Arabidopsis thaliana: one gene and its partners. The protein of the gene in region 3 interacts with the protein of the main gene of each other region in a pairwise test. Each region holds a gene or a part of one and is shown on either strand. Other genes may lie near its edges.

What was found.
Region 1: the proteins of CYCH;1 (region 3) and KRP6 interact in a protein complementation assay, tested with the Arabidopsis thaliana proteins (one large-scale study listed by BioGRID).
Region 2: the proteins of CYCH;1 (region 3) and ICK1 interact in a protein complementation assay, tested with the Arabidopsis thaliana proteins (one large-scale study listed by BioGRID).

Annotation. Positions count from the first base shown.
Region 1 is NC_003074.8:6,615,782-6,619,939, forward strand, and holds KRP6 (KIP-related protein 6), read right to left. Parts: upstream 2,171-4,158; 5' UTR 1,875-2,170; coding exon 1,581-1,874; intron 1,478-1,580; coding exon 1,422-1,477; coding exon of another isoform or gene 1,330-1,421; coding exon 1,153-1,329; coding exon of another isoform or gene 1,149-1,152; exon of another isoform or gene 911-1,148; coding exon 847-910; 3' UTR 549-846; downstream 1-548. UniProt on the Arabidopsis thaliana protein: Binds and inhibits CYCD2-1/CDKA-1 complex kinase activity. Regulates cell division which is crucial for plant growth, development and morphogenesis. May inhibit CDK kinases specifically involved in the G1/S phase transition.
Region 2 is NC_003071.7:9,976,042-9,979,620, forward strand, and holds ICK1 (Cyclin-dependent kinase inhibitor family protein), read right to left. Parts: upstream 2,050-3,579; 5' UTR 1,881-2,049; coding exon 1,683-1,880; intron 1,590-1,682; coding exon 1,546-1,589; intron 1,428-1,545; coding exon 1,161-1,427; intron 1,046-1,160; coding exon 979-1,045; 3' UTR 549-978; downstream 1-548. Other genes in the region: AT2G23440 (uncharacterized protein), read left to right, coding at 3,441-3,579. UniProt on the Arabidopsis thaliana protein: Binds and inhibits CYCD2-1/CDKA-1 kinase complex activity. Regulates cell division which is crucial for plant growth, development and morphogenesis. Functions in turning cells from a mitotic to an endoreplicating cell cycle mode.
Region 3 is NC_003076.8:9,769,781-9,775,436, forward strand, and holds CYCH;1 (cyclin H;1), read left to right. Parts: upstream 1-1,522; 5' UTR 1,523-1,981; coding exon 1,982-2,041; intron 2,042-2,257; coding exon 2,258-2,308; intron 2,309-2,384; coding exon 2,385-2,463; intron 2,464-2,559; coding exon 2,560-2,672; intron 2,673-2,779; coding exon 2,780-2,853; intron 2,854-3,035; coding exon 3,036-3,156; intron 3,157-3,264; coding exon 3,265-3,333; intron 3,334-3,602; coding exon 3,603-3,644; intron 3,645-3,827; coding exon 3,828-3,905; intron 3,906-4,256; coding exon 4,257-4,315; intron 4,316-4,453; coding exon 4,454-4,538; coding exon of another isoform or gene 4,539-4,604; exon of another isoform or gene 4,605-4,623; coding exon 4,624-4,899; coding exon of another isoform or gene 4,900-4,904; 3' UTR 4,905-5,095; downstream 5,096-5,656. UniProt on the Arabidopsis thaliana protein: Associates with CDK-2 and CDK-3 and activates the CDK kinases.

The sequences.
Region 1 (4,158 bases), on a different chromosome or scaffold from region 3:
TGATGAGATTAACCTTTTTTAATGCGTTACCAAAAAGCTAATCCACGTAAATATATCCTATGTAATCGTTTTTATATAGTATCACTCATTGATGATATTTTGTTACAGTAACACACTTCATTAGGATAAATTACTACTCCGCATAGGCCGCTTTTTGGTTTTATCTAATGAAGGCCAAAATGGTTTTAACTAAGTGGACCCTGTGTTTAGTGCCAAAATAGAGGAATATTCCAAAATAAAATAAAAGAATATTAGTGAAAAAAATAGAAAAAATATAATATTTGTATTTTGTATGATCGCAGTTTTTAGAGAAGTACAAACCAACTGTATTACTGTGCCGTCATGTCATGTACCTTTCCTCTTTTCTCCAATTTTTTTTTTAAAACATCAATTTTTGGTTTCAGATATTTTTGTAAATTGGGTACTATATGACATGAAACATTTAAATATAACATAAACTGCAAGTGTAAGAATAAGAATGACATGAGACAAACAAAAAATAATAGTTTTGAGTAAGATAAAATAATTGTAATAATTAAGCATCCAATGTTTTAAAAGAATCCAAACAAGAAGCACCTTTCTATATTCATGCACTTAAAACTCTGCCAAAACCATTTTTGATTTTAAAACAGAAACATAACAAACCAACGAAATCACCGTAATTAGTAGCCAAGATCCGAAATTTCATTATAAAGGTCGTGTTTTTTGTTTTGTTTTGTACGAACTAGTAACATAGGTTTTTAAAGAGAAATAGACTAGAGCTGTACAAGTGGAAATGTTAACCACGAAAAACAAAACCTATTTTTCTTTTGTCTTCTTCATGGATGGTATTTGCTTTTTGATGGCTTAAAGTCGATCCCACTTGTAGCGACCTTCAAGCGGTTCGTCATTGACAATATCGAAGTTGTACCTGTGCCAAAGTGTGTGTGTTCGTTAGGATTCTGATTCTCTCTCTTTTTAGGATATTTGCTAAACTACGCGTCGGTTAATCTTTTTATCATGCGCACGCAGACATTTTTACTCACATTCCTCTCTCTCTCTCTCTAGGTACGGACTCACTCCAATTTTTCCCAAACCCCAAAAAGCAAAGCGCACACAACAACAACAAGAACACACGTGAGAGAGATGATGAAATTGTAAAAATGGACTCACTTTTCTATGAATTGCTTCTTCTTATCGTCTTGACTCTCTAGCTCCGAGAACAAATCCTCAATCTCCGCCGCCGTTGGAGTCTTCCTCACCCCCGGTTGTTTTCTCTTCGTTGCCGATGATGATTCCATTTCTGTTGTCGTTTCTCCCAAACCCTCACTCACTGGACTCGTCTCTTTTCTGCCATAAAAAACAGAGAAAAAATCGCCAAGGAGAATAAAATCGATTGAACGTCTAATTTGGGGGGGGGGGGAAACAAAAAGATTATGAACCTGAAATTGCTGGTGATGAATGTTGAGGTTTCGGTTTCGGTTTCGATTTGATGATCCTGAAACACAGAAACGGAAATAAAAAATCAAAACGAAAACTGAGAAAATCGTCTGATTAAATCGATTCAAGTAGAGAGGAGTTATTTGATTTTGAAAATTCACCTCCAGATCTACACCAAACGACGAACTGTTCTTCGCGATTTCTTTCGATTCACTGGTGAAACAACCGGAGCTGATACTCGAGGACTGATCACTTTCTTCTCCACCGATGGTAACGGAACATTCATCAGACGCTAAAGCCGCCGACGAAGCAACGGAAGAAGATGAAACCGCGAAGACGATGACGTCATGAGAGTCCGGTGATGAATCAGAAGAATCATTAAGCTTCGTTTTCTTCAGTGGTGAGAAGCTTGTGCTTGAAGCTTCTTCTGCAAGCTCTCGCTTTCTCTCGCTCATTTTTTTCTCTCTTGGATTTTTGTGTGCTCTCTCTCTCTGCTTTTTTTTCTTTCTATTTCTGGTTCGCTTCTTAACAAAGCAGAGGAGATTTTGGTGGGGAAGGAGAGAGAATGAATCATGAGCCGTTGATTATTTCAACGGTTGAGATTTTATTTTCCTTGGTGAGCGGACGGAGGTTATGGTATATAACGGCGCCGTTACGGAGTTTCGCTTTTATTTTCTTACACAAACGCCGTTGAGATTCCCAAACGCGTTTTCTCTCCCTTTTTGCCGTTTTTGCCTTTTTGGCTTCCTTTCAAAGCAATTGAAAACGCAATCATTTTCGGTAGTTATGACGTAGTAGCAACGTAACAGTAGTCATTATTTTTTCTTAAAACGATTTAAAGTATGAGTAAACCACAACTCTATTTAATTCGATTTGTTTAGGAACAAGTCTTATTTGGTCAGGGTCTATGAGAACCATCGAACAAGTCTTTTCTCGTAATTGGGTTTTATATTTTATGAGAATCAATTAAAAGCTAAAACCAATGATGTGACATATATCGAGGGTATATATATGAATGGTTGAGGTGTGAATAGAGATTTGTCAAATTAGCTTGATCCCTTCCATTGTACGCGTTTTATCATGGTTTTGAGATGGATATGTTAACATCCAGAACATAGTGTTGAAATCTTTTAATGTTAAAACTATCACGTAATTAAGGTTAATCAACCTTTTTTGAAAAACAATTAGTTCATAAACTTACTTAGATGGTCAAATATCATAAGCAATTAGACAAACTATTCCTTACAATATTTCAAATGAAGATACTAGCTATAATTACACAACAGAAGATACATGGTTAACCAATTTATAAAATACTTAGAAAAGAATTGTGGTGGTCGGAACAATAAATTAGAGATACCTATAGCAGAAGATACATCGATTAACTACATTCTATAAAATCATCTGTACTATTATATATGTTTGTCGGAACATGTCTAGAAGCGCCTCGTTAATTTACGTTTAAAACAATACTATAATTTTGTTACATAGTCAATTTTGTAAGAACCTACATCTTATAAACCAATTATACAACTTTTTGGTTCGTATCATCACCAAGACCATGAAATCAATGACGAATCAAATAATGCTTGAATCTGGAAAGGGAATAACAGTTTGGGGTTTGCTTAGTAGAAACATCAATTATGTCATATAGAGACTAACTCAGCTTAAGTCTAATTAATCTCTTGTTTATGCTTAGTTGTCTTTTTGAAAGTTTCCATGCATGTGTAAGTTTCTTCCACTGATCAGATACACATCAACAACAGATTTTGTCCTCTATGTCATTTTAATGACATATGTATTATGAAATAATGTACATGTGTTAAAACCATAATATAGCACCATAGAGAATGAGCCATTAAAGCTCAACTAAACTGTCCGTACAGTTAAAACCAATTGTAAACAACTAAACTCAATTCTCGTCTTAAAGAGCCCATATATGTATATATATATACAAAATGGCCAGAACGGTTTACAAATTTAAGCATATACTATAATTAAATTTTAGTGTAACTACTTCTTTATTCTTCCAATAAATGGGACCATTTTCAATAAATTTTAGTAATAAAAGGAATCATCGAGTAATAATTAAGTGACTGATGCAACAACGAATTCGCTGACCTAGGCATTTATTTAGGAATTATTAAGACAAATCAAGAGGGAATGATATAATTCAAAATAATTTATTCAGTGACCATTGTAATCCATATGATCATATATAGTCCTGAATAGGGTCGTCCTAAACTTTTAAAAAAATTGATAGAACTTTTCAATAAAAATTTCGCCTATCATTTCAAATCTTTTCTCATTTGTATGAATATATAATAACACTATCAATCAATAATCAAATATTTTTTTGTTACATTGTTGATTAGCTAGTTAGAAAAATGTAAAGATAAGTTGATTTTGTATGTTAAGATAGTTTCTATGTCACTTCCTACTATTAATTTGTATGTTAAGATAATTTTTTACTATGTAGAAAACTCTATGTCAAGATTAAAATAATTTTGACTGCCAAGAAAATTTTGATTGCAATACTTAGATATAAAAAGAAAAAAAGTGATTATAACTAGTACTCGTAACCAAGTATGTTTTATTAAATATCGTTTCACGATCCGAATTCAAATCCGATAAAATACAGGTTATTAGAAAGAAAAAAAATGATATTCTAACGAGATAATACACTAATATTTATTTAATAGATCTTCCATGAAACAAAAGACCGGATTAAACCCTAAG
Region 2 (3,579 bases), on a different chromosome or scaffold from region 3:
ATTTGAGTCCCTCATTTAACCTGTTTGTGATCTGAATTAAGCTTACATATACAAAATGGTCCATGATCATTTGTTTTGAAGATTTTCTGAAATGGTCCATGAAAGAGTTTTGTTTCCAAGTCTTCGGATAATTTGTCTAGTTACAAAATGGTCCTGCATCATTTGGAATAATGTATTTATGGCATTATCTCAAAATTCTCTAACCATTGGGCCAGTACAGTATGCCCTTTACAGATCTAAAGTTTTATTATATGCTAGTATTATTATAATTAAAATTTTGAAAAGTTTCAAACCAAGTTTCGTGTGATAGAATGTTTGTGATTTGTTATTAATCAATAAACTTTAAGAATAACAGAATCATCTTGAAATTCTGATTGGTCGAGCTCAATCATATTCGGTGCTGAATATGAAACAAAAAAATTAGTTGGTGTGGTTAGCTGACATGGTTGGTACGATTTTGTTCAACAAAAAACTGCACTGAAATTGTCGATTAGTTAATTTAAGTAGTAGAACAATAATAACTAATTTCATAGTACTTTTTAATCCATATCAAACGTTGTAAGAAATAAAATTCTAAAATAATTTTAAGCGTTTAGGGCGGTAAGATAATCTACCAAAATGCATTTGATGTTTTTGGTTGAATATTATTAAAACGGAGAAGACAAAAAAATGAGTGTGGTTGTACCTGTGTGGGGATAGAATTTTATCAGTCACCAAAAACATAAAAATGTACTAAAGAATATGCTAAAAGATACACAAGATTCGAAGAAGAGGTAAAAGTAGAGCTAAAAGACACGACTTTTCTGGGCTCTAAAATCTGTTAAAAAGCTTTCTTCTTTTTCTGTGCAATTTCGTACTTCTAAAAACATTCCTCCTACAAATCTTATATTTCCAAATCAACAAAATAAAATTAACTTATTCCCTGAAATATTAAAATCTAAAAAGTTAAAAAAAAAACCATAAACTTCTTCTTCTTCTTCACTCTAACTTTACCCATTCGTAACGTCCTTCTAATGGCTTCTCCTTCTCGAAATCGAAATTGTACCTAATTAAAAAAAAATAAACTCACTCTTAATTTTACCTCAAAATCAATTTTAAATTATGAATAAAAAATATATTATCTATAAAAATCAAACTCACAAAATAAAATAAAAACTTACTTCTTCTTGAATTTTTCTTTGAGTTGTTTCTCAGCTTCCACAAAAAAATCTTCAATTTCCGATTCCGTTGGCATCTCCGTCATCAATTTCGCCTTCTCCTCCTCCTCCGCCGTCACCGTCTCCTCCATCGTTTTCCTCCCGCTACAACAACAATCTAACGATTCTTTAACCGCCGATTCAAATTCCGATGAATAATTCTCCATGGATTTACTTAATTCTTCTTTCTCCTCCTCTCTCAGATTTTCAAAAAGCTTCCTCTTCGTACCCCTAAAATAACTCACAAGCAAGATTCTAAATTTATTGAAGAGAGAGTCAAATAAATAACCGGGAAAATAATAAAACCTTCAAAATTCAAATCATTTTCAGTTTTTTTTTTAACACTCACCGTCGATACGTCGACGTTTCAGTGTCACCATCTTTATCTTCCTCCTACAAAAATTTCAAAATTTCAAAAAAAAATACATTAACATTAAATGATACATATACAGTTACAAGAATCTAGAATCAACAACATTAAATAACCTCCAGATGTATTAATTCTTTCTTCTTATATTCATTGCTTCCACTACAAGACGACGAAACTCCATTATCACCGACGACGGAGACAGAGCTTGATTTTTCCGATCTAACATAAACAATTCTCCGGCTCCGTAGCTGCATATACGTTGACGAAACTCCAGCTTCTACAATTCCTTTAGCTTTTCTATATTTTCTCACCATCTTCGATTTAGGTTACGTGTGCGTGAAGTCACAATCTCTGTGAGAGAGAGAGATATGATTGAGAGGATGAGGAAGAAGAAGAAAGAAAGATGATGAATTTGGTTTTGAACGGTCAGGATTGAGTTTTGTGCTGTGTGTGATAGAGAAATGGCGTGTTTTAGTGGTCCCGTTACAGTGACGGGGAATCTTTAACGGGGAAACTGGAGGCGCCGTTATTTGGATGTTATGGAGTTACTTATGCCGATGGTTTGTTTTATTGACACGTGTCGGTTATAAACGGTGACTTAACGGAACGGGAGGCGTAATAATTGTGGTGTAACTAACTATTTTAAAAACCCTCTCATCTATTGGTAATTCACAGATTTGCCATTACGCGAAACCGTTTAAAATGTTTTAAATTATAATTGACAAGCTTTTTGTATAGTTGGGATGAATTTTATAGTTTAGGTAAAATTAGAAAGTTCATATTACTTTAAAATGAATTGGATAGAGACTATATATAGATTATGTGTATAGTATAGGTGGATTGTTACGGATAGCCTAAAAACTACGTACCTGTGAGTAAAATAAGGTAAAAGTAAAACTGACACTAGAAATTATATTTTTGTTATCCCTGCGTATTTGCTTAGCCTGATGTCAAGTTGTCAACAGCACGTGTCGATCGTGATATATTGGGCTTAATAAGTCATAATATAGTAAAGGTTTCTAAGAACTAAACTTGGCCTCCATCACTTCCCATGGGCCTTGTCAGCCTTTCTATGTTTTGTTTTTGTCTCAAAGCATGAACAAAATGGAGTGGCGAGTGCATTCAAATTACCATGTCTTGCTTTAAAAATTAAAAATATTTTTTTTTTCACTGAAAGATAAATATATACTTCATAATTTCCAACCAAACATACAAAAAAATGTGGATCAAGGACAATCATTCTAGATCAACCAGTATTACACTAGGCATTTTTTTCTTCCTCAAAAAGTTGTTTTAACCAAAAAGAAAACCTAGTTGCTACATACGATTAACGGCGATCATTTTTTGTTACGCTCTTGGCAATAAAGTGAGCATCAAGATTAGATCTCCTTAACTCACCAAGCAATTTTCAATCCAAAAAATTCCCTAGTTTCTCAATCAAAAGAAGGGACTGAAATTTACATGAAGGTCATGCAGACGACTTTTGTTTTAATTGAATAACATAAAACTTTTACTCACTTTACAAAAAAGTATGAATCTATAACCCTAGATTTATAAAGATATTAGAAAACTTTTTATAAATCTTAAATTAATAACAAAGAACTTTAATAAACTTTTTAAAAATCTTGATTGAATAACAAACGATTTTACATAATCGTTAAAGTTCTTTTAAAATCATAAACCAATAATACCCCCTAAATATTTAATTTATCTCCTCAAGTGTTGCGCCCATGTTATGTAAAATTTCATCCCTATAAATACATCAGATGGTCCAAGAGGTTTCATGCATCAATACATAATACATTTTCGCCTTCGACTAAATATTATAATTTAGCTTCTTTTTTTTTCTAATTCTCGTCTCGGTTTTTCTAGTAATGGCGACGATTAATGTTTACGTTTTTGCATTTATCTTTCTTTTGACTATTAGTGTTGGTTCAATTGAAGGCCGAAAACTCACCAAATTCACCGTAACGACGTCTGAGGAAATCAGAGCTGGTGGCTCTGTATTGTCGT
Region 3 (5,656 bases):
AGAGGTTAGTTTAGTTTATAGTTAGTTAATAATTTGAACAGCTCCAAAGGCTGTTGATAATTAGTTACCATTGATTCTGTAACTTTTTTTTGTCATCATTCATTGTAACTTTGGTTACCTTTTACTTTGGAGCTGTTTTTTTTTTCTTTCTTTCTCAGTGATTATTTTCTTGGGTCATTTTGGATCCTAATGGCTGAAATAATTTATTCCCACCTTAATACAAAATCTCAAATATATACTATTCCTTAACTAAAATTCTAGAACAATGCCAAATGGATATGTTTGAAATACCTTTAATAACAACTAGGATTTAACCTGTGGTGTACCACGGACAAATGTTTTATTCATATATAATAATATTAAATTTTACGGTTTTTAATTTAGTATTTAAGTTTTATAATTTTATATTAATGTTATAACTAAAACAAATGGTGATGATAAAATAATAAAATAAATATTTAACATGTGCTATATCAATCCAAACTCGTCCCACTATATTTCATATCAATCCAAACCCGTCCCGCTATATTTCTCATCTCATGATATTTTTTTATAAGTTTAAATAATAATAATGTTTTATAAAGTTAAAATATATCTATAATATTTAAAAATAATAATTATTTTTTACTTAAGTTGGAAAGATTTTTGGAAACGTTTGTTGAGCGCAATATAAAGTATTTAAATTTTCAAATCTGAATAATTAATACCAATTATATATCTTGAAAGATCTTTGGCAACTATTGTTGAATATAATATCTTGTATTTAATTATCGACAGGAAATATTTAATGTCAATGGCATGACATTGTAAATACAAGTACAAAATTTATTTGCTAAAATGGCTGCAAAAATGTATATGTAGATTTACTTCTAATTTTAATGTTTCAAAGGACAAAACTAGGCATGACCATAAAATCCGAAGCCCGAAAAACCTAGTTCGCTTTGGTTCGAGTGGATCTAAAGTGTTTATTTTGGGGTTTTGGTTTGGTTCGTGTAGGATCTGAAACCTGAACAGATACCTGAAATATCGAAACTCAAACGGATACATGTAACTCGAAATAATACGTATACATAATTTGTCGGTAAATTCAGGTTCAATATCAGGTTTCAATTAAATTTGAGAACCAGCCCGAACCCGAATAGACCTCAACCGATATTTTCAGTTCCTAAATGTATTTTCAATCTCTTTACCAAAGTAACCCAAAAACCCAATCTAAACAGACCCGAAAATCCGAATGTCCAGACCTAACTAAAATCGTGAGTCAAACTCAAAAAATGATTGATTAACACTATATTATACTTTTACTTAGATTCTATAAATTGGACACATGTATGGGTGTTATTAAGGGTTGGAAACATAAATTTAAGCCATGACCTTATTTTTGGTTGGAAAATTCTTGTTCTTTTTTTTGTTAGTAAAGGGCTGTTAATAAGGGTTTTAATGGGTTAGCGAACGACACCGTTTATAATAAATATGTTTGCTAAACGACATCGTTTGACCTTAGGGTTTATTGTTTAACATGAAAGAACGTCGTTTCACCAACGTTTCTTCTTCCTCGCAAGTCTCAAAGCCAGGAACGATCTCGCCGTATGAGCAACTTCCGACATTAACACTGTATTGCTCTGCCGTACTCTCCTCTTTTTCCCTTCATACTCGTCTTCACATCTGAATTCCGACAAGATATTGCGTCTGCTCTCCTCTCTTCCCTCATTCTCGTCTTCTCATTACCAAAAACATCTTCTTCTCGTAGCTAACTCAATCCAATTCCAATCTCCATTCAAATCGAGCACCAGATAATTTTTTCTCCTAAATTCTAATATAAGCCCTAAAATTCAAAATTGAAATATCTATAGAATCTCCTTCCGATTCAGACGGATAATCGCCATCAACAGCGTGTGAATTCGATCAAAAATCTGAACTTTCCACAAAGAAATTCGAAAGCTCAGATTTTTCGATTTCGAAAATTTTGAAAACTCAGTTAATGGCGGATTTTCAGACATCAACACAACGGGCCAAGTGGATTTTCACTCCCCAGAAACTGGTAATCCCCTTCTCCTTCTGATCACTACAATGCGGCTTTATAATTATATTTTGTTCATCTTTGGATTTTCTTTGCTTTGATTGCTTCATAGAGAGTCGGATTAATCGAGCATTTGGAACTCTTTGTTACTTAGTTATGTGTGTTGTTGTTGTTATTATCTTACTTGTTGTGTAGAGATATTGGTATTGCAACTAAGCTGTAATGTTGTAATTGTAGGCAGAGAGATATAAAGCTGCTAACCAGAGGGCAGTGCAAATGCTGGAGAAGGTTTGTTAGAATAATTGTTGATATGGAGCTTTAGTCCTGTATTCATGTTTAGATTTTAACTTATTGTTATTCATAGTGTGGAACAACTCAAGTTGAAGTAGATGCTAGTGGATCACTAACATATCCTAAAGATAAAGTTGGTTCAGGAGATCAAGGTAAAAATTTTGGTTCCTTCAATATCTACTTCATACGTATCATAGTTTTGTTTGTCGAAGTTTAAATAATGTTACTTTTTGCTTTGTTACTCTCAGCTGATAAGAAGCTTAAGCCTTTGAGTGCTGATGAAGAAAGGTTCATGAGAGCATTTTATGAGGCAAAGGTCCAAGAAGTGTGCAGTGCCTTTGCATTTCCTCACAAGATTCAGGTGCATTTCTACTCGTCGAGATAGAAGTTTATGATGAAGTTAAAAATAAAATACCTGATTTTTGTTTGCTCTCTGAATTTATGTTTCTTCCTTCTAATATTTTGCAGGCAACAGCCCTCCAATACTTTAAGAGATTTTATCTGCAATGGTCTGTTATGCAACATCATCCAAAAGAGATAATGTATAGTTCTTTTAAATCCTCAAAATGGTCAAAAGCTTTGCTTTTTTCAAGAGAATAGTTTTGAAATTGTTTACCAAATGGAGCTAAGCATTTTGTATTTCTGAGCTCTGAGAGGCTTTTTAAGTCAGTCATAAATGGTCCATTGTTGTAATTTGGACTAATTGTTACCTTTCATTGAACAGGTTAACCTGTGTGTATGCAGCTTGTAAAATAGAGGAGAATCATGTATCTGCTGAGGAAATTGGGAAAGGGATTAACCAAGATCACCGAATAATTCTCAAGTACGAGATGGCTGTTCTTCAGGTATGATATGAGTCAATTAATTTGTACCAACTTCCCTATGTTTATTTTTCCCTGGTGTTCTTTTCTCTCTCTATTCTTTTGTTCATATTATATTAACTCTATGTGCAGAGTTTGGAATTTGATCTGATTGTTTATGCACCGTATCGTGCAATCGAAGGTTTTGTCAACAACATGGAGGTAAATCAGTCCTGTCTAAATTTCTTAGTAGGTTTTCTTATTTCAACTGGCTTTTCTCTGTTTACATCTTATAGTGATGAGACTCTTTTTCAGTTTATTGGCAATTGTTTTGTTGCAAACAAAATTCTGAATGTTAACTTAACGCCAAGAACTTGGTGAACCATAATAGGATATACCAAGATTTTCAATACTTTTTTCGGTGTGTTATTTTTCATCCTTGTTGAACTTCACGCTATCTTCAAAAGTAACCTCATCTTTTCATCCTATAGGAATTTCTTCAAGCTAGAGATGATGAAATCCAAAAACTAGAGGTAGATCTATCTTCAGATATTTCCTTTATCTTCACTAGATTTTAAGCATGTGGTAACTGAATGTGGGATCAAAATGTAAATTTTAGTGTAAGTTTGTGATCATAGCTGTAAGTCTATTTACTTAACAGGCTTTATTGAAATATTATTTTCTCATACTGGCATAACTTTTCAAGTATTCTGCAGAGTTTGCTCAAAGGGGCGACAGCAGAAGCCGATAAAGTTATGCTCACAGATGCTCCACTCCTCTTTCCTCCTGGCCAGGTGGGCATGCTAGTTTATTTTGTCTCCCTAGCCTCTTATTATCAGATTAAAGATACTGAATAATATCCATCAAAGAATCTGGTTAAACTCATTGTTTGGGATATTTCAGTAAAGCTTTAAATATGCTACTCAAGACATAAATTTAGGATGAAAGTTGGTGCTTTGTTTTCTCTTTGACTGATATTTAAGTGAAATTAATGAATGTTTATGATATAGTAGTATAGCTTATCGATATATACTCACCTTGTTCCTTCTTTCAGGATTTTTCGTTTTTCTTTAGCGTATATGTAACAAAAGAAGTATCACAAATTGTTGTACTGTCTCTCAACTCTTGAACGTGTGCCCTTGTAGTTGGCATTGGCGTCGTTACGTATTGCAAATGGGGTTCTTGGAGTGATTGACTTTGATAGGTTATTTCTCTTATTCTATATCCATCCCGATTATTTACCCTTTTAATCTTTCCATGATATTAATCTCGTGGTCTTGAATTTCTGTATATGCAAAGCTTTTTACTGGTTGTATTTTCAACTAAACTGCATTTGGTGCAGGTACCTAGAGAACATTGTTTCTCAACCGAACTCTGAGCACACGACTTCAGAGCTTACAAAGTTACTTGATAACATCGAATATTTGGTATTTACTAACTTCCATAATTATCTTAACAATGAAACTTGCATATCTAAAAGGAAGTTTTACTAGATGCTCTCTCTTATCTCAGGTAAAGAACTACAAGTGCCCAAGTGAAAAGGACATGAAGCATATCAACCGGAAGCTAAAATCTTGTCTAGGACATAGTTCTTCACATGACGAGTACACTAACAACCTCTCTTCTACTAATTCTTTTAACCACTATATATATTTCATAAGCTTTGCTTCTGCAATTGACTCCCTTCTCTATTTATCTTCATCAGGAGTAAGAAACGGGAGAAGAGATCAAAACACAAGTCCCATAGGAGCTCCAATGATACACCAAACGGGGCACCGCCACCCATAGGTTGAGTTTCTCGTACTGCCATTAGCAATTCTTCCTTTGCACTTTGGTTTAGTTTTAATCTTATTGAATGAGAAATTCGTCTTTTATAGTTTCTTCCCCGTTGTTGTTCTTACTAGTAAATTTGAGCAGATTATGTATAACAATGATATTGGCCATAAGTTTTGTTTATTCTGAAGATGTTAATGAATTTATAACAAAACTTCCATTTATTTTAAGTTTTGGTGTACATAACAATCGTCAAAAATGGTTTGTTTGCGATAATGATCAACTTTTTACATGATCAAAAGTTTTTCCAGACATTTTGATACTTTCTAGTTACTACCACATCTGTTCTTACACAGAAACAAATGGATATGACTAGTGTAGCGGTAACTATCAAATCCTAATAATAACAATGAAAATTTGTATTAAATAACCAAAAACCATCGAAAATAAAATTTGGATTGTGAATGAAACTTGTAAAGATGCTTGATTGGTTGTGCTAAATGTCTTTTACAGCCATAATATATTTGTTAAAGACTAAATTGTTGCCAATTATGTTATAGTTTTTTTCTTTAACTTAGAGCCCCAAAAAAAATCTTTTTGTTTTGACTGTAAATCTTTAATTTTCTACATCCTATTTTGTGTTGTAGATTTTTTTTTTTTTGTAGATTTTTTTTTTTTTTTCTCTCCTCTAACTTTTTGTCACGATTATTTTCAACTAATAATCTAAAATGTAGTTATATGAATAACAGATAAAGTATTTTATACATTTAGA